3 linked regions of the Notamacropus eugenii genome follow. The protein of the gene in region 2 interacts with the protein of the main gene of each other region in a pairwise test. Links are inferred from orthologs where the notes say so. Each region holds a gene or a part of one and is shown on either strand. Other genes may lie near its edges.

The links.
Region 1: the proteins of IGF1R (region 2) and SHC1 interact in a two-hybrid assay, tested with the Homo sapiens proteins (4 studies listed by BioGRID and IntAct). The link is inferred for Notamacropus eugenii from reciprocal best matches to the Homo sapiens genes IGF1R and SHC1.
Region 3: the proteins of IGF1R (region 2) and KCNIP3 interact in binary tests that used the Homo sapiens proteins (3 or more experiments, as listed by UniProt). The two-hybrid records come from large-scale screens. The link is inferred for Notamacropus eugenii from reciprocal best matches to the Homo sapiens genes IGF1R and KCNIP3.

What each region holds. Positions count from the first base shown.
Region 1 is NC_092873.1:379,058,515-379,068,959, forward strand, and holds the start of SHC1 (SHC-transforming protein 1), read right to left. Parts: upstream 5,099-10,445; 5' UTR 4,787-5,098; coding exon 4,298-4,786; intron 3,750-4,297; coding exon 3,679-3,749; intron 3,141-3,678; coding exon 3,077-3,140; intron 2,913-3,076; coding exon 2,793-2,912; intron 2,540-2,792; coding exon 2,486-2,539; intron 2,310-2,485; coding exon 2,258-2,309; intron 2,061-2,257; coding exon 1,934-2,060; intron 733-1,933; coding exon 534-732; intron 436-533; coding exon 372-435; intron 260-371; coding exon 134-259; intron 1-133. Other genes in the region: CKS1B (cyclin-dependent kinases regulatory subunit 1), read left to right, coding at 9,318-9,502. UniProt on the Homo sapiens protein: Signaling adapter that couples activated growth factor receptors to signaling pathways. Participates in a signaling cascade initiated by activated KIT and KITLG/SCF.
Region 2 is NC_092872.1:155,732,767-155,743,610, reverse strand, and holds the start of IGF1R (insulin-like growth factor 1 receptor), read right to left. Parts: upstream 5,119-10,844; 5' UTR 4,256-5,118; exon of another isoform or gene 3,792-4,255; 5' UTR 3,353-3,791; coding exon 3,259-3,352; intron 1-3,258. UniProt on the Homo sapiens protein: Receptor tyrosine kinase which mediates actions of insulin-like growth factor 1 (IGF1). Binds IGF1 with high affinity and IGF2 and insulin (INS) with a lower affinity. The activated IGF1R is involved in cell growth and survival control.
Region 3 is NC_092872.1:606,296,577-606,306,913, reverse strand, and holds the start of KCNIP3 (calsenilin), read right to left. Parts: upstream 5,354-10,337; 5' UTR 5,240-5,353; coding exon 5,033-5,239; intron 1-5,032. UniProt on the Homo sapiens protein: Calcium-dependent transcriptional repressor that binds to the DRE element of genes including PDYN and FOS. Affinity for DNA is reduced upon binding to calcium and enhanced by binding to magnesium. Seems to be involved in nociception.

The sequences.
Region 1 (10,445 bases), on a different chromosome or scaffold from region 2:
AGGTGATAATAGAGATCACACTGAAGAAGGAAGGAAAAAAATGGGAATAGAAAGAAAAGACACTGGAGGAAAAAATAATCAGGGGAAATGTAAAAAGAAAATAAAAACTAGGCGGGGAAAGAGTAATACTCACTCATGTCAAAGAGGTCACGTGGGGCACTGCCATTGGTAGTAGGGTTAGAAGGACCACCAGCCCCTTGGCGGACTTTTTCCAGGTTCTGGACATTGACGTAGGAGGGATCATCAAAGAGTTCTCTACCTACCAAGGGAATGGGAGTTTGTCAGCCAGAACCCCAGAGTCTATAATCCCCTTAACCCTTTCCCCCCCAACCCCAATTCTCCAGCTGTTCTAACCTTCCCTTTCTTCATACCTGGTCCAGGAGTTGGGAGCTGTTTTCGAATATCAGGGTCGCCACTGGCTAGCTGTCCAACAGGCTATGGTGGCAAACACAACATGAGAACTGCAGATAACAGTAGCCTATCTTATTCCCCTAGTCCCAAACTGACTTTCTTGCTCAGCTTAGGCAACATACCAAAGTGGCTCCTAGGTGGTTGGTGGATTGGGTACTAGGTGGGGGTGGACGAGGAACCCCTGGGGCAGCTCCATCCCGAAGCCTCATGTCTACTACCCCACCAAGAGGGGGCTCCTTCCCTGGGAAGTCATTGTAGTACTGATGGTCAGGTGGTTCCTCTTCCTCCTCATCCCAAGCTGAGCCATCAAAGCCAGCCATCCTCGAAGAAGAGAAAGAAAAGGAAAGTTCATTCATTTCCTGGCCCTAGCCCACACTGGCCTGCAGAGAGAGGATCTCATAAAAGTGGAGATTGGATATTTCTCCCCCAAAAGATTGAAGCAGGGCAGCAGCTAGAATAAGGACTGAGGCTTTAGCTCTCTAAAGGACCTGAGAGGAGACCAAGTACTATCTCCTAACTTCACAGATGAAGTTACTTGTCCTTGGGCACTCATCTGGTTAGTTTCCAAATCCAGCCCTCCATCCACTACCTCCTGCTGAGTCTTATCTAGAGGATACTAGGTGACATTGTAGACAGCACTGGACCTCGGATCAGGAAGATCTCAGTGGAGCTCATTACTGGCTACGTGACGCTAGACAAGTCACTTCACTTCTTTCTTGATAGTGCTTACCTCACAGGGTTTTGTGAGGATCAAATGAGATATTTGTGCAAAAGGATTTGCAAACTTTAAAAGAATTATATACTAGCAGAATAACAGATATTAGCTATTAACTGACCAGGGGTTATGGACCCAGAGTCTGTGGAAGACGTGGCTTATCTAGAAAGAGGGACAGCCTAGATTCCAAAGCAGTTCATCTTCCCAAAGAAATGATAACGAGAAGCTACCATTACAGCAGCAGCGCTAGAGATTAGACCCCAGGAAAGAATTCCCAGAAAGCCAGTAGAAAACATGGGAAAGAAAGAGGTAGGGCAGGTAGGACATGGGGTAACTTCCTCCATTCTGTAAGATTCTTTTAGCTCTGAGAAAGAACCTGTCAAGTGAGCTGAGGCAAGAGGGATAGCACACCCCTCATCTCCACTGCTTAGAAAAACTGGCTTTCTTCAATGCTCAGCATCTGTGCCACCTCTCAGCTCAGCGTCACTGGCTTCTTTGTCCCCCACCCAGTTGTTACAGCTTTCTCCTCTTTGTCTAATTTAATTGTTTAATTGTATTGATTTGTTGAAATGTTGTACTCTCCCATGCAGAATGGAAGCTCTGTCAGAGTCAAGGGGATGAACTGATTTTTTTTTTTTGGTCTTTTTATCCATTTTTACTGGCATCATGCTTTGCACAGAGTGGGAGCTTTAGAAAGGCTTGCTAGACTGAATGTGGTAATGTGGGTTTCTACTATATTTCTGAAGTATTTTTTCCTCTAGGGAAATATTCCCACCCCAATGCCCACATCCCTAGCCTTCATCCTACCTGTCATGGGGAGTGACAAGCTTGGGTGGGTTCCTGAGGTATTGTTTGAAGCGCAGCTCAAAGGCCTGGCCAATGGTGCTGATGACATCCTGTGCTAGTCCTTCTGGACACTCCAGGATGTGGCAGGCTATGGGCACAGCAGGCATTGTCCTTATAAGCAACAAGTGCGGGGCTAGGGATGTTCAGGCATGACCCATCCCAGCCATCCCAGGCTCCCTGGAAATAGCACCCACTGGGCAAGGGAAGCTTCAAGTGCCCTCAATGACCACAGAACTAGTAATTGGAGAAGGAACCCCTGACCCACCCTACCAGATTCCCACTTACCTCTCTGATTGACAGGATCTTTGGCAACATAGGCAACATACTCAGCAGTGTCCTAGGGGATCAGGTTCCGAGTCGGGGTAAGATCAGCCAGCATGGCTTTACATGTTCCCCACCAGCCCACAAAAACCTCTTTATTCCCCCCCCACCTCTACCCAATCATTCTGGGTCACCTCAATCCAGAGTCACTCCATTTTTCCCCAGCCACCATCTCTTTTTACCATAACTCACCGGATCCCCACCGGATGCAAATGAGATTGACTGCATGTGGTGATTGGCAATGATCTGAGAATTTGGGGTGGTGGGGTAGTGTTAGCAATTCCACTTTGACTCACATTCTTCACTCCTTAGTATTCTCTGTCCTACTAACTCCCTTATTTCTTTCTGTCCCATCCCCTGGTCCCTTCCACCAGGGGCCCTCTAACTATCTCCACCCAGATACCCAGTTCTTCCCTCACTTTCTCCCCTTGAGTTTCTCTGACTTCTCTTCACTGGCTAGACTGTTTCCCTCTCCCCAACCCCCCCAGGCACAACAAACCTGTTTACAGTCTGCAGCCATGAGATTGAGGCTGCTGGTAGAAACAGTCAGGGTGATAGGCATGCCAGCAAACTTTAGATTACTCCTCCCCAGTATGGAGCTGAGTGGGCGGCTACAGGGCTAATAAGAAAGGATCCACAGAAAATTTGGGGGTTAAAGGCTACAGGCCTACCCCTAAAGCCCCAATTTCTATATCCAGAAACCCATCTCCCCTCCATTGCTCCTGGCTTCCCCTCCGTCTCTCCTCCCATCTACTACTCTCCACAACAATGCTCCCCAGGTACCTTTCTCCTTCGTGCAGCCCCCTTGGCTCCTGGCACAGCCTCACACACCAGACTGATGGCTTCTCTGAGAAGACAAAGACTTGCTTAGAAGCAAAGATTTCCCTGGGCCCCAACATAGGTCTAAGGGAGGGGAAGCCAGGGACAGACTCCAGGGGCACTCTGAGCTCTTTGTAGTGGCTGATTGAATTAAGGGCCTTTAATATTTGATGATACTAAGGAGCTGCCTGCTGGTTGATTGGATTAGGGCCTCTGAGCCCAGTGATGGACCCAGTCACTTCCCCTTAACCTCAACCCTTCTAGTCACCAAATACTAATTTTCCCTGAAACCATGCTCCCACCCTTCAGGGTCTTTGTAATCTTATGGGCTGGCACACAGTAAGCCCAGCCAAAGTTCATTGACTCAAGTGCGTGCCTCCTCCATTCCAAGGCTGAAAAGGCAGAGGGGAACCTAGATCTTCCACTGGGCTCCCTTAAGTGCCCCATCCCTCAGTAATAATGCTCTTCCTGTGCTATCATGACCACAGAGCCCCAGGAGCTCACTAACTGCTATGAGCCCCAGCAACACTGACTGGCCCCCATGCCCCCAGACAGACACCACTTACCTGGTAACCTGGGTGCGAGTACTGAAATCCAAGGCCCGCATCGACTGGAGGACCTCCACACAACCCATGTACTGAGGGAGGGGGAGGGAGGGAAAAGTGGAGCATTTGACCTCTGCCAACTACTATCAGCACCACCCTCAACACACATGCACACAAAAGACCCCCCAGGATTTTCTCCTATATTAATTCCAGAATGTGAACGCCTACCCACTGACTATGCTTGGTATCTGAATGTAGAACACCCCTGGTCCCAGTGTAGAGGGAGAGAAGAAGAGGTTAGAGAAACAGTCTATGTAAAGTAATGGGGAAAGAGAAATCTTTAGGTGCTGGGAAAAGACCAGAATGATATGGAGGAAGAGAACAGGAAATAAGAATGTCTGCACAAGAATTAGGGGAAAAAAAGCAGGGGGGAAACAGAAAGGAATGGGAAATAGCAGCATTTGGGGCAGGGAACAGGACAGGTAGGAAGTAATACATGGAGGGACCTGAAGAGGGAATTTGGCACATAAAGAAAACATAAAATCCAGCAAAACAAGGGACTTACAAGGGTCTCAGGCAAAAGAAGACTACATGGGGATTGAGGGGAGGAATATTTGAGAATACGGACATACTCACTCACCCGAACAAGGTAGGAAACCCCAGGTCCCATGACCTTGTCGTTGGGATGTAACCAACCCCGAGTTGGCTTGTTGACAAAGCTCCCGTGACGAGTCCACTCCTCACCCCCCAGCTGGCCCCCTTCCACCCGAGTCCTCCGCCCGCCGCTCAGTTTGTTCATGTCCTGGAGAAGAGGTGAAGGGCCTGAGTCCGGCCCAGTGCCCCCTGCATTTCCTTCCCTATCCTCAGGTCCTTGTCCTGACTCTTCAGAGGGACCGAGCCGCCCCCCAGTTGGGTTGGCTAGCTTCAAATTGCTCATCCGAGGGAAAAAAGAGCAAAGGGTTGTAGGACTATCATCCACCAGCACTGGGGGCAAGATGGGTCCCAAGGAAGAGGCAGATGGTGAGGATAGCTCCCCAGGGGATAAGGATCCCAGAGTCCCCTCTTCCAATGAAGACAGAGATTCATTCCTAAGAGGGTTGTACTTGGGCTTGGGGGGCAGGAGATCCATGGCTAGAGGAGAAAGGAAACTGCTGTCCAGCCCGGCCCTCCCCCCAGCCAGGGTAAGGGGGCCGGGCTGGGGGCATTCCCAGACCCTTAGTCTGATCTGCTATATACAGGCAGATAGTCACAGAACCCTTGCAGAGAAGACCACCACTCCCCCAGCTCAGATCCAGACAAGCCCTAGCTCCAACCCCGCCTAGCATGAAGCCTCTTTTCTAGCTGTAGAAGAGAGAGCTGGACCAGGAACAGTTTGGCTCCTCCCCAGGGGAGGAGAGTTAGTAAGTGGAGGCCAATCAGGAGGACAGTGCTGACTCACAGGCACAGAAGGGGCAGAGCCCCCCACCTCTACCCCACCCAAGGCCTCAAATCCTAAGGGAGGGAATCTCTGTGGCCCTCCCATTTCCACATATCCACCCACCCCCCCTCTTCCCAACCAAGCATAATCAGGAATGGGGAAAAGGGAAGGGATGATGAGAAGAGAGAACAGATCTGAAAGTCTAATGCCTGACTGCGAAGGGGGAGGAGAAGACAGGAAGCCAGGGCAGTGGGGAAGGAAAGAGAGAAAGACAGGGAAAGGGGGCAATCCCTGACTTATTTCCCTTTCCCACCCCAGTTAAAAATTCTGGCAACCTTGCCGTGGGGAGAAGATCCCCAGGGAACCTCAAGGCCATTAGCTAAAACTGCCATAACAGCTGGAGATATAGTAGAAAGAAAATCTCTCTGTGCTGTCTGGGAAACAGGGAAGGAAAGAAAGATAGGAAGGGGTTGCTAAGCAAAGGGGCAAGATGAGCAGAGAGCCAAGAGAGACTGAAAGAGCCAGGGAGCAAGGCCAAACCAGTGCATTGGTAGAGCCAGCCCAACAAGGCCTCTGAAGGAAGCATGTGGGATCCTGGAGAGCTTGGGACTGTAAAGAAAGAAGGCAGGTGAGATGAGTCTCACCTTTTAAGCCTCTCCACATGACATAAGGGAAGTGAGCCAGCCACAAAGACAGTCCAGCCCCCACCTGTACTACCTAGGGCATTACTGGGGGAGTTCAGCTGTCAGTTTCCTCCCAAGATGATGTTTCAACCAAGAGAGCATCACTTGGAAGGTGGGCAAGGCTCTGTTCTCCCGAGTCCAAACGTTAGGACACATCACTACCCAACAATTCTCCTGTCCGTGGGGTTCCTCTCCCTTTGTATATGGGCACTTACCCATTCCATGAAGATCACAGGAAAGGAAAATCCATTACTGACCACAGGATCCTAATTATCCTAATCCTAGAGGTCTATGCTCTCTCTGATTCCAAAGCTAGGCTTCCAGACTCCTCCCCATAGCCACCAGGCACTGATAGTAAAGGCAGATTTAAAAGCAAAGAGGGTCAAAGGCAGCCCCTGGCATCCATGGGCAATGTCTTATACATATATATGGTAATCCAACTGCCACTTCTCTCCCAGTTATCCCTAAATCTCCCTTCTGAGGATGAGTGCCACTCTGAAAAAGGGCTCTACTCCAACCTTCACGCTTCCCCCATATTCTAATCATACAGAAAAGGAGAGTTTGGGGAGTCGGGTTTGAGTCTGGACACAGGAAACAGTCCAAAACTCATTTCCTCCACCCACAAGTTCCTGACTTCCTGCCAAACCAAATGGAAGAGAGGGCAGAAATTCCTACAAAGGCAGACAGCAAAAAAAGACTAGAGGAACTAAATTCAAAATTAAGCCTCAGGTACATTCCTAGCTAGGGAGAGGGGGAAAAGCTTTCTTTCACCTCCTAGGCAAATTGTACTAACAGAAGCAGTGGAAAGAATGGTGGATTTGAAGTCAGAATACCAGGGCTAAAATCCCACTTCTACTTGGCACCTGCAACTTTAGGCAACCTCTCCATGCCTCAGACCCCTCATCTATAAAATGAATGGAAGGGAAGAGGATTGGCTTGGATGGTCTCTAAGGTCTCCTCCTGCTGGGAATCTACGATCCCATAAATGGGGGAGGGGAGAGAAGAGAGAAGGGTTTGTTTCAACTCCTAACTGGGAGAAGAAATTTATCATCCCCATTTCCTCACTCCCCAGGGCTCACTCAGTTCACAGATCACAGAAAAAAAAGAAGACCCAAAAGATAATTACCCCGATATCCTACATACTTTGTGCCAAGACTCTTGTACTGTCTAGAGATACTCACTTTCTTATAGCTTTCACAGTAAGAGAGTAGTGAGCCATATATAACGGAATATTTGGAAAAGAATGTAGAAGAAACTCAGTTCCAGAGAACCAAAAACTAGATGACTTTCAGAGGTTTGGGGTGGGGGTGGGGAATATCTGCTTTCTCTGCCCAGGGGGAGGAGAGTACAGTGGCAGGGAGCAGCCGGAAATGGCAAAAGCCTCAGGAATGTTTCCTGGACTGAAGGTTAGGCAGACATAGAAAAGACGGGGAATACCTAAACAAGAAAACAGGAATGGGGGTTGGAGTAAAGTCTCTAGGGCCAGAGAGCAAAAAGCATCCCCCCACACCTCCCAATTGCAAAATACCCTACTCTTTTAGGGTAGGTAGGGAGAAGTTACCCATTTCACAACCCCATTCCACACACCAGGGAATCCATGGCCCAGCCCAGCTCCTGAGGTACAGGTACGACATGCAGCTGTTTCTGGGGTGGAGCCGGTCCTGGGAAGGGAAACTTAGGGAGTAGATCTGGGAACTCGTGAGGGATTTCCCATCCCTTCTCCCCTACCTCCAAGCCCAACCCACTTCAGGTCATCCCACACCCAAGAATAAAATTAAGGCCCAAAGGGGAGGGAAAGTACAGCCAATCTTCAATCCCTCAGATTTGAGTCAGGGTTAGGAATAATGAGGCAGTAGAAAGAGCCTTTGGCTTACAGTTGGCAAACTTAAGATGATTTCAGCCTCTAATACATAATACTAATGTGATCATGTCACTTAAACTCTCAGAGTTTCAGTTTCCTCATGTGTAAAATGCAAATGAGAAAATTTGCACTGCCTCTCTCAAAGGAATTTAAGGGGATACTGCTATATATCTCATTTATTTAAATTATTACCACAATATGGGGTGGGGGACAGGGACACAGGCACCAGGAACTGAGGAGAAAACCTAGGCTGGATGGAAGGACAGAGTGTGATTGAGAAAGGAAGCCAGGTTTCTGGGTTTGAAGCAGGGACCTTTCAGGTTACAAGGATCGCTTCAGATTTTAATGAGCACCTTAGAAGTATCTCTTGGGAGGTATGGTTTCAGAGAATTATAAAGGGAAAGGTCATCCAAAATATTTTCCAGCTTACTTTTCCAGGCTTAGTGTTTCTCTACTTCACACACTCTGTCTTATAGCCAAATTAATCTGCTTACTATTCTAGTCCACAGCATATCATCTTTCATCTCTGTACCTCTACACAGTACCTTTTGCATCCTTGTAATGCAACCACCTCTGATTCATAAAATGTCTAGGTTCATTTAAAGTTCCACTCAAATGCCACTATCTCCAGGAAGTTTATCCTGATTTCCCCCAGTTGCTAAAGGAAATTATTCTTATGGAAATTACTTTGTGCATAATTTATATTTAATTTTCTACCTGCATGTTGTCTCCTCTCATTAGGAGGCAAGCTCCTTGAAAGTAGGAATTGTTAGGTTTTTGTCTATGCATACGTAGACAAGCACTCTGTGGGACACACAGGGGAGCTTAATAAATTCTTACTGAATTAAATGGAAATGGGCCCCTACTGAATTAAATGGCCAGGGAGGAGAAAGAAATGAGGTATACAGAGGGGTCGTGACCTAATGAAGGGCGGAGTTCCCCAGAATTCTAGAAGGCACTTCGGGGTGGGGTACGGGTAGCCCGGGACTAGCCGTAAAGAATAGTTGGAGGGCCCCCTCTCGGGGTAGGGGCGTTCAGGGAGTGTTAAGATTAAAGAGGGCGTGGTTTCGGGGGGGAGGGATGAGGAAGGCAAAGTTTTCCAAAATAGGGGGCGGGAGGGGGAAACATTTAGGTCGGTGACAACTTTGAGGGGTTCGGGGAGCCCCTGAACTGGGGGCTGGACTTCCGGGGATGGGGTCCCAGAAGGCGGGACTTATGTATGGTTGGCCGGAAGTGGGATTCCAGTGGATTGGGGGGAAGAATATTAAATAAAGATGATAAAAATTTCATACTCACCAGGGCCGCATGGGGTCTCCGCTCCGCGCCGCGGGCCGGTCTCACTCCGGATCTGGCGGCCGCAGCTTCTTAGAGGAGACGCTCCAACTTTCTCCCCCCCCCCCAGGCCCAGCCTCCCCGAAGAAACTTTATTGCACTCACTTCCGGCCTGACTAACCTTTGACCCCTACGCATTACGTGTCTCCTCCTTTCTCCATTTCATTGCCCCGCCCCTCCCGTAGAAGTGCAGGGTGGGGCCCTCAAGTAATGATACCCAATAAGAGCTTGTGTATGGTCTCATGGGCGTATACGAAACATACTGTCTGGCCCTATGGACCAATAAGAACCCGAGGTGGGATAGAGTGAAAACTATAAAAGCCAATAAGCGTCTCAAAGGTGGGCTCTTTTTCCCGCCTCCGATAGAATGAGCCAATTAATTGAAGGAGCGGCAGGTTTGAAAGCGAGGCCCCGTAGAGTTGTGGTGCGCGCGCGCGTAGCTGTAGTTAGGCGGTTGGAGGCGCGGGGTTGGGGTCCCCCGGAAGGAGCAGACATGTCGCATAAACAAATTTACTATTCGGACAAATACGACGATGAGGAGTTCGAGTACCGGTCAGTTCGGGCGTGAAGGGGGTGGCCATGCTAGGTAAAGTAGGCAACGGCGGGTGCGGGCGCGAGGACCATCTTAGCCTTAGCGATGGACGGGAGAAAGAGCTAGAAACGCATGCGCTAGAGCCAACTGGGAAGTTAGACGCATGCGCAGGAAAGGTTCGTAGTGAGGCGGGGTAAATTATATTTAGAACGCATGCGTGGAATCCTCGCGGTTTGATAAAGTTGCAAAGGAAGGGGACGAAATAGTGAAGGCTTGTTACCTTTACCTGTGCTGGTCTGCCGCCATCATCCCCCCACCCTCTTTCAAACTGACAGCTCTCTTTCATGTCTGCCTAAGGAATGCCAGGTGGTTATGGAACTGAGAGTGTGGCAGGCCCGCCGGTGATATCCATTAACCCCAAGAAAAAAGGGGGTGATTGAGGGCTCCTTTGCCCCTGGAACTGTGAGGGTTCAGTGAGTGGGAAGGACGTCGAAAGCGTTAAATATGCTAGTAAATAATGGATTGAAGGGAGGAAGGATATGACAGATATCCACATAAATTTGAAGGACCATTTAGAAAAAAGGATTAGACTTAGTCTAGGTGGCTTCAGAAAACAGAACTAGGACCTATTGGTACCTCTGACTAAGGACTCCCTTCTTAATTATTAGTAGTGCTGTCAAATGTAAAGCATTGTATTCTATGATAGTAAGTTGTACCTGCCACTGCAACTGTCGGGGCAGATCCCATGTTAACTAGATGTAGAAGAGAAATTCTTTTAATGGATTTTAATGGCACTCTTGCAAAAATTCTAAGACCTTTGTGTTTTGGAAAACAGATAATTTACTAACCACCTATTGGAACGTTTTAATTTGTTCTTGCTATAATATAAAGGTTCTTAAGATATCTCCAATTCTTTCCAACTAGATTTCAGGTTCCTTAAATACAAGGAAAAGACATGGATTT
Region 2 (10,844 bases):
GCTTTATCTGTTTTGAGACCTTCTTTATCCTTCTAAATTAAGAAATGTTTACATTATTACAGTCACATACTTTATCCTTAAGCATTCCTTCTTTTCCGAGTACCTTAACACAATACTTGCAACTCAGTACAAGTACCCAAATCTTTACCCCACAGATCAAAGATAACAGCTAAAATATTAGTCTCTGATACAACTTTTTAACCTTACTATTATGGTGAAGATTGATAACTTGGCTTTAAATTCATTTACACATCTCTTCAAAAGATTTTAAAGTATTTTCATACCTATTCCTTAAGTCTCGAAATCTTACTGTGCAGTAGGGAAAAGAAGGTATTTAAATTCTGTTTTACAATCGGGATTTGAGGCAACTTTTGCCTATTTGTCAACCTGAAAATTACCAACCATTTTTAATGGGTCCTTGGGAAATACTTGATCTTTCCCTATAATACTTTCTTGTCACTGAAACACAAGCAACATATGTGAAATATTACTCTTTTTTTTTGTCTATGCATTATCTCCCAGGACAAAACATTTTATAAATAAGCATTCCTAGAAAAGTCATATTTTTTACCTAAACAAGAAAAAATAACATCTGACTTTTCAGGAAATAATAGCATACAGGTCCAAGACTGGCCATCAAAAACTGGAGAAACTATACAGCTCTATTATATGCCATGTTCAAATTTAAAATACCTGTGTGTTCTGTGACAGATTCACTCTTTAAACTCTGAGAACCTTCTCTATATTCAAAATAAAATCTAAAATTCTGGGCAACAGAGGGAATGAAAACCTCTCTCTAATCTGGTGATCTGAAACTTTGGAAAACAAGTTGTTTTGTTTTAATTAGGGTTACAGCAGGTTCCAATTTGATCATACGACCTCCAAATATTTGTCTAGTAAATATTTTAATTCTGTAAAGATTTTCTCCTATTATTAAGGTATGCTCATTTTTTACAATTAAGAATGTTTACTCTCCTTATATTTTATTTTTAATTACCGCCGTACCTGATTCTACTCTTCCACCCCCCATTCAAGAGATCTAGGTAAAAGGTTTAAGAGCCAAAACTCGGTTCCTATGTGCAAGGAGTTAACTGGCACCAGCTGTATACACTCAAGTATTACACACAAGATCCTCTGGACCTGTCATCCCTATTTCTACTACTTAGCTTAAACTTTTCAACGTGTCCGAAAAACATCCGCCATCTCAAATTTACTATAATGCCACCGGGTGCTTTTTGCTTTTTTAAAGGAATCCCCGCCCCTAATTTTCCCCAGAAGTGCAACGAAACTCTCATTCCCTTCTCCCCCATCCACCCAGACAAGACCAAAACAAAGTCTATCAGATTACAAGTGATAGCATTTGTAGAAATATATTGCTTATTAACGATGTGCCAAGAAAGTGCTACAAATAATAATGGGGGAGGGGGGGGAAGAGAAGAGAACTGGTTCAAAACAAACACAGGGAGGGCGCGCTCTGAGGTTTAAACCCACTCACACACGTTGTCCTACTTTTTAAGTAGCACTAAGCAGGGTGTCTGTGCACTTCTCAATGTTGAGACACAGATTTCGCATGCACGTGTGTAACGTGCATCTACACACCCACAAATATACACACCCAGCATTCGCATTCTCCCTCTCCACCTTTCTAACCCCTCCACCTAGAGAAAAAAAAAAAAGAGGGAGGGGAGGCAGAGTGGAGAGGTCCTGAGGCCCGCATGGGAAGGCTCCGGCTCCAGCAGCGGGGCTCGGGGAAACCCCACGCCAGAAGGCGCTAGCTCGTGGGCCCCAGGTCACGGCGTGGATCGGTCTTTCCCGCAGCGCTGCGCTGGGCCCCGCCACTTCCTCGGGCACCGACAGGGGCGGGGGAGGGAGGAGGAGGCCGGGGGAAGGGGAGCATGGAACGACGCAGAAAAACAATTCCATCTTAGAGACGCCGACAACAAGAGCAGAGCTTTTCTGCAATTGTGGGCAACAAAGGCAGATTCCGGGAAAGCAAACGCTGGATTAAGGGGGGAGGGAGGGTGGGCAGACAGAAGGAGGATTATATAATATTTTTAATAAAAGAAGTCTAAATATCGTCCGAGGATGGGGGGGGCACCTATTTGTGGGATTAAACACAGAGGGAGACCACGTTTTCACAACGCATCCGGGGAAAACCCACCCACCTCCCAAACTCCCTCCTCCTCCTTCCCCCTCAGAAAAAAAAAAAAGGATGTTTTGAAACGTGTCCTGGAGCTGCAGCACAGTATTTCTAGGGCAGATCGTTCAAGTGTTCTAACTTCTCTTTTTCTGATACTATTCAAAAGGTTTGTTACATTTCAGGACTCTTTCCCAACTCCTCCACCACCCCAAGGCCATCCAGCAACGCCTCCCCCCCCCCCCCCCAGCCTCCAGGCACCCCGCCTGCTGCCACTTAATACACAGAGGAAGATTGTGGCCCTTTCCCATTTGCACTGCCTAACTCACCAAGGGGGTTTATCTTGATTAAGTAGGGAGGGATGTGTGTCTGTGGGGAAACCTTCGGTTCCGGGGTAACTGTCAGTGCATAAGGGTCCCCTAAGAAAGGAAACTCCCCCCTTGCAAAGCGGTCCCAAATGAAATGTAACCAACCACAACAAACAGGCTGGCACACTGCTTCAGTGTGGTTCCCGGGAAGAGAGTATTGCTTTTTAATCAAATGGCTTGGAAAAACACGAAGCTCCCGGCCTCCTCCAAATGTCCGTTCCCCCCACCCGCCAGACAACTGGGGGGTAGGAGGGGGTAGCTTTGGTCTTTGCCGGAGAGCAGGTACTTGTGGAAAAGAAAAGTGGCCTTTGACTGTTGTTTACAATCCCCTGGGTACAAGTTCGAACCTTCCAAGAATGGGAACTTTTAGCAAAGCTAAGCAGACAAACTTGATACAAATGTTAATTACCAAATTGAGTCGAGTGAGTGTCTGGGTTTTGTTTTGGAGAAAGAAACAAAAAGTAAAGCTATTTCACTTAGATGAAAGCGCTTAACCTTGGTGGGGGTGGGGGCAAGCCACCGTCTCCCCCCCACTCAACTTGCTCCTCCCTTCCCCAACTTCATAGACCCCCCCCCCACATACACAGAACCAAATTAAGCTAAAAAAGAGACCAGCCTTGAACTCTAAATTCTAAATAGACTTGAAGATGCAAATTCTTGAACAGAAAAATAGGACAGCGGCCCCTTAAACTAAAAGTTACCGCAGTGCAAGACATACTTCACAGTAGAAACACTGATGAGAGAGATACTCACTTTCTCCATTTGTTGGCCAAAGGCAAAGTGTAGAAAAGAGAAACAGAAGCCCCCAAAGTGAGGTCGGGGACCCTCTTCCGGCGCCAGACTTCATTCCTTTTATTTAGGACGAAATTCCCCTTTCTCCAAAAAAAAAGGGGGAAAGGGGGGAGTCCGAAACTCACACTGCCGCCCCCACACCCCTTCCAGAAACAAGGGAGAAAAAAAAACAATAATCCAGATGAGAAACAGATCCTTCGAAAATTGCAATTTTTTAAAAAATGATTTCTTTCCTCGTGGTGAGTCGATGGGTTGTCGATGCTGTGGCTGTCGAAGCTGACACACACACTCCCCAAACAACGCTATTTTGATGCTTTAGATATGTAGGTATTTGTGGTGTTTGCTACAGAAAAGGTAACAAACCCCCCTCAGCGCTGGCTGCAGTGATACAATGGACACAGAAGTAGCAAACATGAAGCACATTGAGACTGGCAGTCTGCATCTTCAACCTCCATTTTCAAACACACACACAGAAAGGCAGTAGGGGAAAAAAACTGCAAAGAAAGGGAAAAAAAAAATCCAAATCAATCCTTGCAAGGAAAAACAAGCCCAACCAAAAATAGAGGGAAAGGCTTCCAAACGCCGCAAAGTATCCACGTCGGAACGATGCGACGCAGTTTTAAATATCCCCCAAAGTCCAGGTTGCTGGAGAGGCTGAAAATGGGTAAAAATGCGGAATAAAAATGAATGAAGAGGCTTCCCCCTCCTCCTCCTCTCCTCTCCCTCCTCCTCTCTCACTGCTGCTGCTGCTACAGGCGCCTTCCAAAAAATCCAGGACACACACAAAGCCCCAGCAGCAACACTTAAGCTGTTCAGCACTCCTGCTGCTCCGGGGCTGGGGCTCCGCGTTGCATCCCCTCTCGCGGCGACTGCTTTCCCATAGCAAACGTTTGTAATTCCCTTTTTGCACACACGCACACCCCCCCACACACACAAACACACACACACCGCCCCCCACCTTCCTCTCTCCGGAACGTAGGGGGGGGATCCGGTTTGCTGAAGGTCAAAGCCGAAGAGGTGTTGCAAGGGTTTGTAATTCCTCTGGAAAGGGGTGTGGAAGGAGAAAGGTGGGGAGAGAAACGAGCGGGATAAGAGGGTCTGGCAAGGATTTGACTAAATTGCTGTTGCAAAGGGGCAGTTTGCTCGCAGCTTCGCTCTCCCTCTCTCTCTAGTTCGCCTGGTGCGCTCCTCTGCTTGCCTTTTTTTTTTTTTTTTTTTTTTTTTTTTTTTTGCTCAGCGGAGTTAATGCTGGTAAACAAGAGCCTCAGCTTCGCTTTGCCGCTGCTGCTGCTGCTGCTGCTGCTGCTGCCGCTGCTGCTGCTGCCGCCGCCGCTGCTGCTGCTGCCACACACTGGGGGCTCGCGCACGCGCTCCCGGAGGCACGCACGCACACACACTCACTCACACACACACACACACACACACACACACACACACACTAGCAGCAGCAGCAGCAGCGCGCGGCGGGCCCCAGCCCAGACAGGCGCGCGCCAAAAGCAGGAGCCTGGGATTCCCGGGAACGTTCGGAACGGAGCCGCAGCGTGAGCCCGTAGTCTGCAAAAAGCTGACTCCACACGCACCCCTTCTCTTCCGTCCCCTCCCCCTCGCCCCCACCCTAATACAGACGCACGCACACACCCTCCCCTCCGACTTGCTTCCAAAAACAATGCCCCTAGCTTCGCGTCTCACCGAGATGGAAGAGATATATGTTATGTATCCGTATAGAATTGGTATTTGTATGTATTTTTGTCCGTACGGAGGAAAGGGTAGAAAATTGAGAGGTCTCTAAAAAAAAAAAAACAACTGGAAAGCGCATTCACCCCCCATTTCTTGAAAAGCTTCATTGTTTCTTGCAGCTGTTGCAAAAAAAAATGCATGCCGCATTTTTTCGCAGCATGCTTTAAGAACTCAACGTGAAGGGAGGGGGTGAGTGGTGAACTACACCTTGGCAAAGAAGGAAAGCCCCGCAGTCTTACCCTGGCTCTCCTTTAAGACATTTTTGAGGGACGGATGGAAATGTTATGGTTTTAGGAAGCCAGAGTTTCGAGTCCTAACGGTGGAGGAGTGCGCAGACGGGGGCGGGGGGCCGCCGAAGGGGGGAGTTCCGAGCCGAGGATGTGAAGAACTGCCGCCTTGCCCAAGAGACAAGAAGGGGGTGGAAAGAGCCCAGAAAGGCAGCAGAGACCTCCACCTACGCCCAAGGGAGTCGTTTCCACGTCGGCCGCTAGAGGGCATTGGAAGGCGCCAGGAAATTGTTTGCAGCCCCAATAACATTGCCTTCAGGGAGAGGAAACGCGGTGGCCGTGATGAAAGCAAGATTTTCAAAATAGCCGCTGACCGTGTCCATCCCCCAATGCCTCTCGGAACCCAAGGCAACGAATCTAAAGCTCGGGCGTGTTTACTGTATAAGCAGCTTTGTCCCCGCATTCTGGGACCACCGCGCGGGGATGCTGGGGGGGCGGGGATGAGTTGAGAGATGCAACTGTTTCCATTGCTTGTGATCTTTACTGGAGATAGTGGAGGAGGCTACTTTGTATTTATTTGGGATTCTGTAACTCTTTACGGGAAGATTTACCTTTCTACCGGGCTCTTTTACCAGCCAGTATCAATCTGTGGTATTAGCATGGGGCAGTACTGAGGTTTATTGACCAGTTTTCTTTGATCTGATTGCACACACTGATAAAAGGTTGCTTTGCTTTGTCCCCCTTCTGGTTCTTAGAACACTGAATCTGAGTTTGGAATCCACTGTATAAACTGATTTTCGCCTGTTCTGGTTCCTTCTTGGCAAATCTCCTTCCTTTTCAAAACCTACTAATCCCTCTTTCCTTCCATGCCCTTCAAGATAATCAATTTTCTAATTTGTACATGCCACCTAAATGACATGGAAACCAAATCCAACCCATACGATTGTCATCTACCATTTTAAACAGCCTTGTTGACTGCTAACCAGAGGGTATTTCACAGAGGCTGGTCAGAACAGGAGGGCTGTCAGCAAAGGAATGAATTCGTGACAAATACCTGAAACTAGTAACAACTCAGGCAGGAGAGGTGAGCTCTAAATTCATGGATTGATTAATATGGAATCTGTGCTTTGGAAGTTGTTTGGGTTTCATGATTCAGACTAATTGATATCAATAATAAATTTTAAAAAGTAGATTGCATAAAACTAAAAAAAATCACAGATATCTATAGTCAAAAAGAAATGATTTATCTCATAAACAGTAGTGTTCTCTGATAATAATAGGGAAGATCAGTCTACCAAAAAAGACTTATTTAAAATAAATTATATTTCTTTTATCATTATTTTATATATCATTATATCATGTATCATTCTAGAAGATTCAGGAAATGTCATTATTACAGTGGTCCTACATTTATAAGTGATGAAAATTTAATGCCTAAGTGCAAAACAAAAAGCTCTTGAAAATAAAATGTTATATCTTTTCAGATGTTGATTTTCTGTATTCTTTCCATCTTGGAAAATGAGTTAAATTCATTAGTAAATTTTACAAAAGAGAAATCAGCCTTTTCCTCTTTAGTTGTTATTTCTTTAAAAAGTACTAATTTGAAATTGTTTAACTAATGAAAGAGAGATGATTATTTTTGTAGATTCCTAGCTTTCAGCAAAGAATAAAACACTTGGAAATCTTTAAAAGATTTCTAAAATTCACATTTATTTCAAAATGAGGAATTGAGCATGAGTAACTAAAATAAATTGTACAATTTTTAAATTGTGTACTTAGAGAGTTTGCCTATCATTTTATTTTTACTTATTTAAGAAATATTAAATTGAATAATAAATGAACAATTTTATGTCCTAATTATATTTTTTCAGAGATGTTTTTTTCTTTTAGAAATAAACTAAGAAAGAAAGTCTAATATTTAGAACTTGCAAGTTAAAGTTGCTAAACAAAAATGTAATTTTTTCTTAATGCTGTGGAACAAATATTTGCCATGCAAATTAGCTTTTTGTGGTCATCTCTAGTGACCAGCAGAATGTGGAACAGCCAAAGAAGTGTATAAAAATTAAGGTTTTTCAATAAAAAAATTTATTTTAAAGTTTTTTTAAGTACCTGTGTGTCTTTTAAAAATGAAAAATCAGCAAGATGTAAAGTTATTTTACCCACTGAGATCATTTGTTGTTTCTGACATTTTTGGAAGGGGAATTTAAAATAGGTTTGTCATTAGAATGAAACTTGGTTGTATGGACAAAAACCTAATGTGCAGCTTTCTTTATTGGTCACACATGAAATACCCAAGTGAGATCACTATTTAAGAAGTAGGAAAACAATTCATGTCAGAAGAAATCATTCTGTGTTGTTTGTTTTTCATGCACCCTTTGCAGCAACTCCCTCACAGTTAAAATAGTAACATATAACATCTTGTTTGTTAGTATTTTATCAAGTGCCTCTACAATTTATTTTGGAAGGGTAGTATGTCCCTGTTTGCTTTTTATAAAACTGGTTGCCTTAATGCTTAATAAATCTCTCAGACCACAACCAGGTAATCTATACAAAGTGAAAATGGAGTAAGATGCATCCAAAGGATGAAAAGTCAAAACAAGATAAGTTCCTTTAAACTAAACCTCCCCCTCTTCAAACATCAACCCTCCAGACTCTTAGCTATGCATACATCAAACATCCACCAACTGTTCGAGCTGAAACAACAATATATGCTTAATCAGAACCAAATACTCAAAAACTCAAATCAGAACCATATCCCCCAAACAGACATTCCAGAGGAACAGTGTGTGCACATACCACTTTCAATTTAAGACAAAAACAAAAGAATCATGAAACTAAAAACGTCAAGGAGTGTTATATGATCTTCCATTCTGTCGGTCTTAAATTAATTAAACAGTATAACCATGAACTAAATAATTTTGAAATATAGCAGCATTTTAGTTGAAACACCTCATAACAATGTAGACTATTAATAGAACTGGCAATAATCCTGGAACCTAACAAAGCATAATTTGCTAGAAAGTAGAATTTAGTGATACAAGGTAAGGTTGTCTATGATCCCTTTCAAGAGGAGTTAATTACTGAAGTCATAGAAAACTGGATAAGGTGGTCTCAGACCTAATATAATCCTTCAACATGGAGAACAGCATTCAAATCCTCCTCATTTTTCTTCAGTATCTGAGGATAAAGCCTTCTCTTTCTCTACCCCCATATTATCTCTTTGGGCAGCATTCATAATGAGTAGAAAAATCTTTCTATCACAGCCATATATTCTGACACTTTTATACCAACACCAAAACAAAACATGAAGAATTTGTCCGATTCCATTTCCAACAGTTACCCTATATGGAGTGTGGGTAGGAGTGGTACCCTGAGGAATCACAGAAGTGGCACACCCTAAGTATAGCATTACTCCTTCATGCTTCCAGAGTTTGGAAAAGGAGCATATTTTAGTCGACGTGAGTAGACTCCTATCTAGAGACTTTTCTCTCTTGTTTTACAGGAACCCATGCTCCAAGTGATGAGTTAGAAGCTCTTGGGCAAGTAGGTTGAGTATGAGACATTATATTGTTTCATTAAAAAAAAAAACTATTTTTATGTAAGATCATAGATTTTGAGTTGGGAAAAACAGGCTTTTAAATAGGTATTTCTCATTCATAAAGTAATGGAGTTGGCTCTAGAATGGACCAATTACTTGGATGATCTGAAAGCAATGAACCAAAATTCACTTTATCTTTACTCCTGAGATATATTTCAGTGGAACATACATCATTGTATATAATAAGCATGCTCTGTAAAAATGTCATTAGATTCAATTAGATTGTGAGATTCTTGAGGGCAGGGTCAGTCTTTTGCCTCTTTGTATATTCCTAATAAGTAATATGTTGCTTTTATCATAGTAGGAGCTTAATAAATGTTTATCAACTGACAAGTCAAAATTCTAAGTTCTCTTTATTTAATCTTATAATTTTAGAAATGCCTTAAAAGTAGAACAAGGCAGGAAATAGGACACCTGGGTTCAAATCACAAGTCTTCCAACAGATAGGTAACTTTTGGCAAATCACTTTTTGCCTCAGTTCCCTTTTCTGTAAAATTAAGGCATTGCACTAGACCTAAAATTTTATGATCTTTATTTCTGGTTGATCTTTAATTGTTAATACCTTAACTTTTAAGTTTCTTTGCCCTCCCTTTACCTAGTCATAAAAAGGTCTATGAATTATCACATTTGCACAGGCCTTAGTAGAGAGAGGCTAAGAGCAAACTGTGGGTGAAGACAGCATCTTTCTATAAAAACCTGTGAGCAGGGTCAACTGGACAAATAGAGGAGGAAGGAAAGAAGTAATTAGGTGGGGAGGCAGGTGGAAGAAAATGGCTTTGGAGTCAGAAGTTCCAAGTTCAAATACTGGCTTTGCCACTTTCTATCTATATGAAATTGGCAAGTCCCTTAACATTTCAGGGCCATAGTTTCCTGATCCATAGAAGGCATTAATCTAAACCTCTAAGGTACATCTCAGCCCCAAATCTACCATTTCAGGGATAGCTTCCAATCCCAAAATATATCTTCTACTAATACCTGAAACAAAATTAGGAATGATCCATCACATTTAATTCATTCTCTCTCTCTCTCTCTCTCTCTCTCTCTCTCTCTCTCTCTCTCTCTCTCTCTCTCTCTCTCTCTCTCACTCTTTAAGTCCTTAACACTTTAGTAAGAATGAAGTTATTAGATCATTTGCTGAATGATAAAGGAAACTAGCCATGAAAGTATATTGGGAGCAAATGGAAAAGTCAGAAAAATTTGAAGAAGTAGGAGATATATTTTGCTTATGGAAAGCCCTGCAGATGGGGTGTGTTGTAACTAATACAGCTGTAGGTTGAGGAGAGAGGTAACTCATTTTAGAAGCAAAAATTATTTCAGAATGCTGAAATGTTTGAGGTTTGGAAAAAGTTATGAAGCTTTTGCTCCATTTAAAATGTCCTTTTCTTTTTTGAGCTGGTGGCAAAGATAGGTCAGAATTTTGGGGGAGTGGGGGAGAAAGATATATAAAAAAGGTTCATTTGACCACTACAGTAATCAGATGCTCTATATTACCAGTGATTGGAACCATAATTGAATTTTTCTTCCTGACCCTGATAGGAAAGGGGAGAGAACAAGGATTTTCCTCCCACAAGAACAAGTGAAAAGAATAAATTTCTCCAAGTGCCTATTGCTACAGAAGCAAATGAGAATCAATGAAAAAGTTTCCAGGGATGACACAGCCAAGGGAAAGATAAAGAAAATAATTATAGCCAGGCCAGTGTGGAGTAGATGATAGTACAACACATTCTTTTTTGTCATTGGAGTACCAGCCCATGAAGAGGAGGGAACATGGGAAGTGGGAAATCTTTATGATGGGATATAATTCTAGGAGAAATATATTACTTCAAGAATAAAGATAGAAAGTTTCTCCAACTATCAAAATGTTGGTATTTGCATTGGGTGTATTATAGCCTTCAACCAAATTTCTTTCTCTAGAATTTAAAAGGGGTAATAAAAATAAGAGAGAAAAATTAATAGTCTATGTGGGAGATTTTTTAAAAAAGTTT
Region 3 (10,337 bases), about 450 Mb from region 2:
TAATATTCCACTACATTCATATTCTACATTTTGTTCAACCACTCTTCCCTCAATGGTCACTTGCTTTGCTTCCAGTTTTCCCCTACTGCAAGTAGCTACTATGAATATTTTGGTATAAATGGGCATGTTTTTTTTCCTTCCTTATGGTATACAACTGGATCAAAAAATATAAATTATTCGGTGTAGCATACATCCCTACTCTGAGCTCCTCTCACAATTTGTTCTCACACTCCCGAGTTGGATCCTCACAGTGGTGACTACTGCCATTCTTTAGGGAGATAACCTTAGCGAGTGCTCACTTCTAGAACTATAGCTCATGAGCCCCCACCAGTGTGTTTCTCATTAATAGCCAGTAGTTATAATTGGTTCTTAGCAGAGGCATTTACTAAGATAACATGGAAAAAACAGCTACAAAATCTCCCCATAAAACTGTGTGTACTCTCCACACATCCATAACATCTTTCCATTAAAAGGGCAGGCACAAACCTAAAGTATAACAAAAGTGAGGCACTTATGTCTGGAATACATATGCAAATGTGCAAAGGCAATGGACCACTTCAGGGCTTCAAGTCTTAGCTACCTTTCTTGTCTTTGCACAGTCTTCTCTATGGCCTGGCTCCTACTTGACAGGATTGTTCTCTCTAAAGTCCATAACTACTTTCTTTTGTACACATAGAGGTCATGCTCCTTGAATCTGCTCCCTCCTCTGGGTGACTATATATGCCTCTGATCCCTGAACTGGGTCTTGAACTTATACAGACTTACTCTCCAAATGCTAGATGGGTGGGTAGTCTCTTTCTGGGCAAGTACATATGTTGCTATGTAGCATGCCTAATAGGGTGGAGGAAAAAAAGAAACCCCTTCCTCTACCAGCAGTCATCCTAAAACTGTCCCCAGCCTTGGCTGCTTCTACCAACTCAAGCTGCTCTTTAAAGGGTACCTGGGGTTTGCGTGTCCATTTTCATCTGCCAATGGGATTGACCCATCCGATTCACTCAAGAAAAGGTGGTCATACCTCATAAAGGGATTAGATTCATCTTTTCTGTTCCTTTAACACCTCATAAGCACCTTGTGATTACATTCTGAGTTTCCTGGGTACATAAAAGATCAACTCCTCTATGTTCAATTCCATTTTGCTTTCCTAATGGATGCAGCAGTTCATAGCTTCGCCAACAAACTATTACTGTGCCTGCTTTCCCACTACCTTTCTAGCACTAACTGTTTCCATCTTTCATCATCTTTGCCAAATTGATGGGTGGGAGGTGACATCTCAAAGTTGTTTTAATTTCCATTTCTCATATTATTAGTAATTTAGAGCATTTTCCCATATGGTTACTGATAGTTTGGGTTTCTGCTTTTGAAAACTGTTTGTATCCTTTGGACACTAGATTTATTTATATACACACAGAGAGAGGAGGTGTGACTAGAAAGTGATGAGACTTTTAAAAGAAATTCATCAAAACTCTTATCTACTAAGGCACAGAGGGGCTAGAATATCTTCTGTAGAGGGAATTCCCATTGAGGGTCTTTATGTCCTGAGGAATAGGGAAGGTATAGAAATCTGCCTCTTGAGATGACAAATATCTGATTTCTTCCAACTTGAAGATTGCCTGAAGTTCAGAAAAGTTCATCCAAAGGCATTTATTAAGCACCTAGTATGTGCAAGGCACTGTACTAGGCCCTGGGAATACAAAATACAAAGCATAAAAAGTGACTCCAAATTACTCTAGTTATCAGCACCTCTGACTGAGCACCTAGGAATACCCTCTCCCCCTTTTTTTCACAGAATCCAAATCCTTCCAGTCCTTTAAAGTCTAATTCAATTACCCACCTTTTCTGTGAAATTTCTCCTACAATCCCAGATGGGAAAATCTCCCCTCTCTTTGAACACCTTTAGCAATTTTCATTTGAACATTTGGTAGGGAAAGAAGAGTGGGACCTTGAACTTGGAACCTCAGAAAACAGGTTTAAGTTATGATCTTGCCACTCGTGAACTGTATGACCTTGGGAGAATCACTATGTTACTTTACCCCACCCTGAGCCTCAGTTTCCATGTCTATTAAAATCAGGATAATATTTACATTACCTAGCCTGTTATGAGGAAGTATTGCATAAGCTTCCACTCTGTAGGAGGCAGCAGAGTGAAGTGTTTTCACTGTATTTGGAGTCTGAATACCTTTCTCCAGATCCCAGCTCTACCTGTGAGACCTCAGGCTTCACATGTTAAATCTCTCTAGGTCCAAATTTTCTCCTCTGTAAACTGAGGCTGGGATCCCTTAATTCCTTTCCAGATCTACATCCCATAATGCCTCCAGGCAAAATGAACTGGAATCCACAAAAATAATAAAAGAACTAGAGAAAAGCTTGCAGGGAACTGGACAGATCCTCATAGGCTGAAGTTGTAAACAGTACCATTGGAGTGATCACCCACAAATCAACGAAATCAGAGATCCAGTTAAATATTTCTACTGCACTGTTGCCTAGTACAAGGCTGGTATGTGGCAGTGCTTCAATAAATACTTCTTGACTGATTTCAAATAGAGCTCCTAAACCTTTGTCTAATGTGAAAACGAAAGAGCATCATTTAAAAAAACCACTCCAATACCACCTTTCTTTCATGTTCCACTTTCCTACAATGCAGAGAGTGTTTGGGCAGCTTCTAATCCCTGAAACATATAAACATTTAATCTAACTTTTGGCTACCTCCTCTCCTTCCTAAAATCTATGATTGGGAGGCTGGGTTGAAGGCTTCTAGCTGATTGTAGCATCAGAAGATTCAGTCACTAGGTGAGCAGAGTACTTGTCCAAACCAGTGCTCCCACCTGTCCATAATGCCCCACCCACTGCATCATCTCCTCTCCACCCCAGACATATACACACCTCTGCCTGGTTCCAAGCAAAAGGGAGTGCTCATTCCTAGCCTCATTCTTTCCACCCCATGAATCAGAAGCCCAGGATCCTCCTCTTTGTAAAATGGATCAATGGGTGAGGGAAGGGATTATGACAAGGTGTATCCCAGTCCTAAATTTATAAAGGAGATGTAATTACTCCATACTCGTTTCCCTTAAAGATTTGCCTAGATCAAGAAGTTACACAGAGCAAGGGTTCAGGTACACAATCAGAGCCCACAAATCAGACACTTTCCCTCCCCTTCAGAAGCTTTGAAAACTGGCTTTCCTAGACTTATATGAACTGATGCTGAGTGAGGGGAGCAGAACCAGAAGAACATTGTACACAGTTACACTGTGATACATTTGGCTCTTCCCAGCAATGCGAGGTTCTAAGACAACTCCGAAAGGCTCATGATGGACAATGCTATTCACATCCAAAGAAAGAATTAGGAATCTGAATGCAGATTGAAGTATACTCTTTGTTCGCTCTTTTTGGTTTGGTTTTGTTTCTTCTTTCTCATGGTTCATTCCATTGGTTATAATTCTTTTTTAAAACATGACTATTGTGAAAATATATTTAATATGAATGTATATGTAGAGCCTATATCAGAGTACATGTCATCTTGGGAAGGGGGGAAGGGGAGGGAGAAAATTTAAAACTCAAAAGCTTGTGGAGCTGAATGTTGTAAACTAAAGATAAATAAATTTAAATATAAAAAAAATAATATTTTACCTTAAAAAACAGAAAACTGCTTCCTCAGTAGGAAAAGCTGGCCTCAATCTCCCTTTAAGGCTCTTCCCTCTCATTACACTTCTTGAGCTCTAGTCAAACTGAACTTGTTCACCAAAGAAGTCAGAACTCTTTCCTCTCTGTTCAATACCATTCCCTCTCTCCCTCTGCCTAGTTCTGTTTGTGGATATTTTGCCCATCCTTTAAGTCCCAGGTCAAAAGCTCCACAAAAAACTACTATCACCATTTCTTTCCTCAACCTTCACCCAGAGCAGGTAATTGAAAGTAGGATCTTTGCAAAGGATTCAAATATCACCTCTCCTATGAAGCTGCAACCACTTATTCCCCAGACTCATTTTATCTCTCTTATATCTGGGATCTCAGAGCACTTGGTTGTCAAGTCTCTCAAGTCACCTTCACATTCTAAGTGGCATTATAGTTACTTATGTACAATTACTAGCCCATAAGCTCCTAAAGGACAGGAATGAGGGCTTGAATCATGCCCTGGACACATTAAGGGCTCAATAAATGTTTGTTGAATTGAGATGAATAAGGGGCAGTAGGTCAGGGGGAAACTGGGTGGCCAGTAGATAAAGAGACAAATCTGGAGTCAGGAAGACAATAACTTCCTGAGTTTAAATCTGCCCTCAAACACACACTCGTTGTGTGACCTTGGGTAAGTCACTTAACTTGTTTGCCTCAATTTATTCATCTGTAAAATGAGTTGGAGAAGGATATGACAAATCACTCCGGCATCTTTGCTAAGAAAATCCCAAATGGGATAACAGAGTCAGACATGACTGAAAATGACTGAACAAGAATGAGTAGGTAACTGAAAAGGTGACAGGGACAGCACCAGGTGAATTCTAAAATGTCACCCTTACTCTCACCCCCAGAGAAAGGAGAAGGTAGATGAGTCCAACATCCAGCATTCAGAAAGCAGATGTCCGGGGAAGCATTGTCTAAGAAGAAAGCAGGGAGTAGGGGATGGGAGGGGGGAGCCCCAAAGATGGTCAGGAAGTGGGGGGGGGAAGGAGATAGAGAGCCAACACGAAGAGTAAGCTTAGGGTGTCCCCAAGGACCCAGGCAGAACCTTCCCCCCCGCCTCAGAACCATGGCGGTTCTGTGGCACCTGGTCACAGCCAAGTTTACAGTACTGCCTCTTCCAAGCCCTGGTGCCTTCTGAGGGAGACTGATAAGGAGCTCCAGAGAGAGACCCCTCCTTTTCCTTGAGCTCCTCCCAGCCCTAACTCCAGGCGGAGAGAAAGCAGAAGAGGGAGGGTGAAAGTTTCCTCCTCCTTCTACCTTCCCCCAACCCCTTTCGGTAATAGGCATTACCCCACCTCCCCAAGTCAACCCCTGTCCCTCCCTCCCGTCCCCTCCCCTTCCAGCCAGATAGGGCCAGTCTTACCTGCAGGGTGGGTGAGGCCGAGGAGGTGTCGGTAGAACACGGCAGGTGGAGCTGTCGAAGCGAAGTCTGATGTAGCTGAGGGAACAATGGGTTGAGCTGGTTCCTCCTCCCATGTTCCCAGCCCAGCCTCTCCAGAGCCTCGGTTAACCCCTCCCTGCCTAGTGGGCTATTGGCCACCAACCACCCTTTTATCACATCCCTCTTCATTCCTCCTCTCCCTTTCTCCCAGACCCCCAGCAGCTCCCAGCCTCTGCCTTAACCCTCTCATTCTCTCTCAGCCTTTTACGTTCATTTCAGTTTTAGATCCTGAGCTCCACCTCCAGACCTCTTGCTTTTAACCTGGCCGTTGCGCAGGGTCCCAGTCTTATGATCCCTTCCACATCTTTCCTTCTTCCTCCTCTGTCTTTCTAGTCCAGATGAATTCTTAGGGCTCTATGTCTTCACTGGCCTTTTGTTTGCCACTCAGACCTGAACTTTGTGAGTCTTGGAGGTTTGGAGGGGACGTTGAGAAGGTCCTATTGGGGTTCCATGAAAGAGGCTCAGCCCGGTTTCTCCAGGTGTTCGAGTCCCCATCTTCACCCCTCAACCTGTGCTCATAAACCCTCGGATTTTTCATTAGTCCTCTGTTTATGCCAAACCATACCGACATTTTTCAGGAATGAGGGGACTCTACTTTTAACCCTTGATCTTGACATAAAAAGCCTAAATCTTAAAAGGGTTGTGGTTTGTGAACTTCAAAAAAAGACCAATGGACTGTAATGGAAAGCTCCCTGGAGAGGCTTGAGGTCGAGTTCTGGCTCTGACGCTGATTAGTGTATGACTTTAGGGAAATCTCAACCTTTCTGAGTCTGTTAACTCCTATATAAAATGAGGAATTGGGATCATTTTAAGCTCTTTTTTAACTCTAATATTCTATTCCCATTTTCTTGAAGGAAAAGGGAAAGCAGAAAATGATTACCCTCCTTCCTTCTTTCTACTAAGTCCCCAGAGAGAGGTTCTTCAGTCCCTGCAGAAAAAAGGGGTACAAGGACTGAGAACCTGAACTGTTCTCCCAAGCTGCCAAATGTGTGTGGCCAAACTCTCCCCCAAAATAGTACTTCCCAGATCCTGGAAAAAAAACTTTTGTCTCCTTCCTCTATGCCAGACAGTAGATCTTTCCCCAGACACTTTCACTGCCCTCCTAGGGGGGGTCTTCCCATAGTTTTGCCTCTTTCTGAACTGTGAGGGCACTGAGTGACCCTCCAGTTTATATGTGAGTCTTATAGCCCAATATGCCTAGTCCCAGACCCTGAAATGATCAAAGCTCACAAGGACCCTCAGAAGAACACAAGAATCTGTCATATCTTGCCTCAGATTATGCCTGCAACCTTCTGTTCTCCCAGTCCCAGAGTCTCAAAGAGATTAGAAAGCTTATCCCTCTCCCAACCCCCAACAAACCCTGGCCCCAGAATAATGCCCTGAAAGCCCAGAAGTCATGTTTCCAGCCCCCTGTCAACTCAGAGACCCAAACCAAAAGATGCTACAGAATTATGAAGTATTACTTCCCTCTCATCTCTAGCCAGGCAGAGATGGATGTCAAAAGTAGGGGGCCAAGTCCCACAGGGGGCACTAAGAGAGAGGGTCTGCACAAACAGCCTTTGAAATCTCTTCTTTCCCAGTGTAATTCACCCAGGGAACCCTCCACCTTGACCCTAAGGAAAAGAAGCAACACACCTTTGCTCGCTGCATCTCCCTGGCTGATGGAAGTCTTGTTGCCTAGGACGCTCTTGGAACAGATGATAAAGCTCTGGAGCTGGCGCTCGAGAACATTGGGACAGCCACGGGCCCACTTGGCAGCAGCATTATGTTTGCTTGGACTGAGACGTGATTTTAATTTGCATCTCTCCCCAACTCCCCCCTCCCCTACTCCTCCCTCTCTCCCTCTATCTCCTCACTGATCTCTCCTCGCTCCCTTTTCCTCTCTCATCCTTTTTCTCTTTTTTCTCTCCTTTCCCTCTTTTCCCCCATCTTTCTTCCTTTCCATTACCTGTCTTTTTCCCTTTCCTTCTCTCTTTTCCTCTCTTTTCTCCCTTCTCCCCACCCTCTCCTTTCTCTCTCCCAGATCTTTCATTTCCTTACCCATTCATTCTCTCTCCTCCTTCTCTCTTTCTCTCTCTTTCCACCCTCTCTTCTGATCATCATCTCTCTTCTTTGTCTCTTTTGTTAACCATTTTCTCTCTCTTTCCCTCTTTCCTTCACCCTCCCACTCCTGTACCTTAACCTCCCTCCCTACCTCTCTCCCCCATCCTCCTCTCTGGTCTGAATGGTAAGATGAGAGTATTTGTAATGGTGCCCTGCTTCCCTCTCTCCTGTTTGTCCTTTCCCCCGCTCAGTCAGTGCATTTCCTGGAGAGCTGCAACTTCCTCTCTGCTCTGGAGTTCAACCCCAGGGCTAGGGTCCTGCTGAGGCCAACAGGTTTGGGTGATGAGCCAAAGGGACTGAGTTGTGAACATGTTCAAGTTATCATCGTTTTAGTTTAGTGTAGCTGTCCTTAAAAAAAAAAAGGACCGGAAGGATTACAAGTCATCCCTACTCTCTACTCTGCCCCCTTCTTATGCAGTAACATCTGAATCTCAGGGAACCATTCTATGGAAGTGAAAAGCAGAGTGCAGACTCTAAAATCTCTTATCCCAAGGGGCCCTAAGGAGTTATCTAGTCCATCCTCCTGCTTCTCAGCAGGACCCAAGTTAACAGAGATCTGTGACCACTGTGTTTATAATAAGCCTGTGCCTCAGGCAAAAGATTCACATTCCCATCTTAACTCCCCTGGGTCTGAATGAGCAGAACTTCATGGCCATATGGCCACCCCCACATTAATCTGTCACTAATGTCCCAGCAGTTTCCAAGGGGATATGTGGACAGTCATTCCAGTGACATGTCATCTGGGAACATCCTCTAAGTTTGGAGAATTGGTGAAGAAACATGTTTCTGTTAGTAAAACTCTTCCTTGATGGAAGGGACTGCCATAGCTTGGAAATCATAAAGACTTCAGAAATGCCACCCTGGGGAAATCCTGTGGACCATTCAGCCTAGGATTCTGTTTTTGAAGAACAGTTTGAGGGTGGAGATGTCTGCTACTAGTGAATTTCACCTCAAAAGTTTCTGCATGTGACCCCCTCAAACATCTGCAACTTCCCCTTAATAACCTTTGATAAATCAATTATTCATCAGTTAACCTAGTTCTCCCTTCTTGAGTCTATTGATACTTTCAGGTTATCCCTATACCTCTGGGGACAATGAGTTTTCCTAGGTTAACTGAGAGGTAGGGCAGGAAAATCAAAGGAAAAGGAGACTTGAAGTTCTCGATTCCAGTGCCAAGTACTAGCAGGGCGGTCTTGGGAGAAAGCCTTGGACTTGGAGCCAAAGCATCTGGGCCTGAATCCAAGTTCCACCACTTCTGCCTTTGTAAACTTGGATAAATCAATTCACTTCTCTAGGTCTCATTTTCCTCATCTGTAGTGTAAGGAAGGAAGTGTACTTAAAAGTTCCTGCCATCCCTAAATCCCATTATCTAGATTCAATGAACCTTCAATGAATCATCTTCTATAAAATAGGGATAATAGTCCCTGGTCCCTGCCCCAACAGCCTTGTATTTAACTACTAGATATGGATAGAGAGAGAGAGAGAAAGAGAGAGAGAGAGAGAGAGAGAGAGAGAGAGAGAGAGAGAGAGAGAGAGAGAGAGAGAGAGAGAGAGAAAGAGAGAGAGAGAGAGAGAGAGAGAGAGAGATGTCGATGCAGACGATGATGTAGATACATACACATACATACATATATGCAATATCTACTATATGTACTATAGTATGTACATTCTGTATATACTATGTAGCATACATACTATATAGTATATATAGCATTATGGTATACATAGTATATATACTCCATGACACATAATATATGTAGAATTGTGTCATATAATGCTATATAATACATACTATCTATGTGCACATACACTATACACATTATATGTAGTGTGTGTGTGTGTATACTCTGCCTACTTGTCTCCTCCATTAGAATGTGAGTTCTTGTCTCATTCTTTGTACTTATGCCCCCAGAACCTAGCCAGGTATCTGGCACGTAGTAGGTGCTTCATTGCAGTGAGACAATCACACAAAGCACTTTGAAACTATAAAGTCCTATCTAAATAAACAGTAAGGGGATTTAGTTCGGTACTGGTTACCATGACCTCTTCCCACTCTAATCAAAGAATGTTCCCCCTCTCCATCTCCACCTCTTAGAAGCCCTGGCTCCTTTTAAAGCTAAACTCAGGAACCATTAGGCCTTTCTTATCCCCCTAGCTGTTAACACTCTCTTCCCCTTACTCCCAAAATTATTTAGTATTTAATTGTATGCATTTTGTATTTGCTTATCAGTGCACATAATTCCATCCAGCAGAGTAAGTTCCTTGAGGCCAGGGACTACTTCGTTGTTTTTTTTCTTTGTGTGACCTGACACCTAACACAATGCTTTGAACATAGTACATGCTTAATAAGCGATTGTTGAATGGAATAGAATGTCCCAAAGATCTAATCCAAACCAACAAGCTCTTATTAAGTATCTACTAGTGCAAGGCACTGTGCTAGTCTGGGGATGTAAAGACTAAATGAAAACAGTCCTTCCCTCTTAAAGAAGCTTACTTTCTACTAAATTATGATAACAGTCACATTTTAGTATTTCTTTTTACCAAAGTAGATCATAGGAGGTGTTGTGGGTTAATGGATAGAAAACTGGTCTTGAAGCAAAGAAGACCTGGTTTCAAGTCTGGCCTCTGACACACGCTGGCTATGGCATCCTGGCCAAGTCACAACCTCTCCCTGCTCTAGATAACCATCTAAGATTATAAATTGCAGAGAGGATGCTGACCTACAATAGTAGAGGGAGTTTCCCCATCTGGAAGTTCCCTATTCTAATGAAATCCCAGGTACCATTCATAATCCTGTGCTTAATACAACTCATTCATTGTCCCTTCTATTTTAGTGGATGTTTTCAAGAGTTGTTGCGCCCCCTCCAAAGTCATCATTTGGTGCAGTGATCACCCCTCTAATGGTGAACCCCTCCAAATAGAGCTAAGTTGTTGAATGACATACAATCTTCTTCTGGGCCCTATAATAAAAATACTTTCAAATTGATAAGAACTTCCAGGGTAGCTAGGTGGTACAGTGGCTAGAGCACCAGGCCTGTAGTCAGGAAGACTTGAGGTCAAATCCAGTCTCAGACACTTCCTAGCTGTGTGACTCTGGGCAAGTCACTTCACCCTGTTTGCCTCA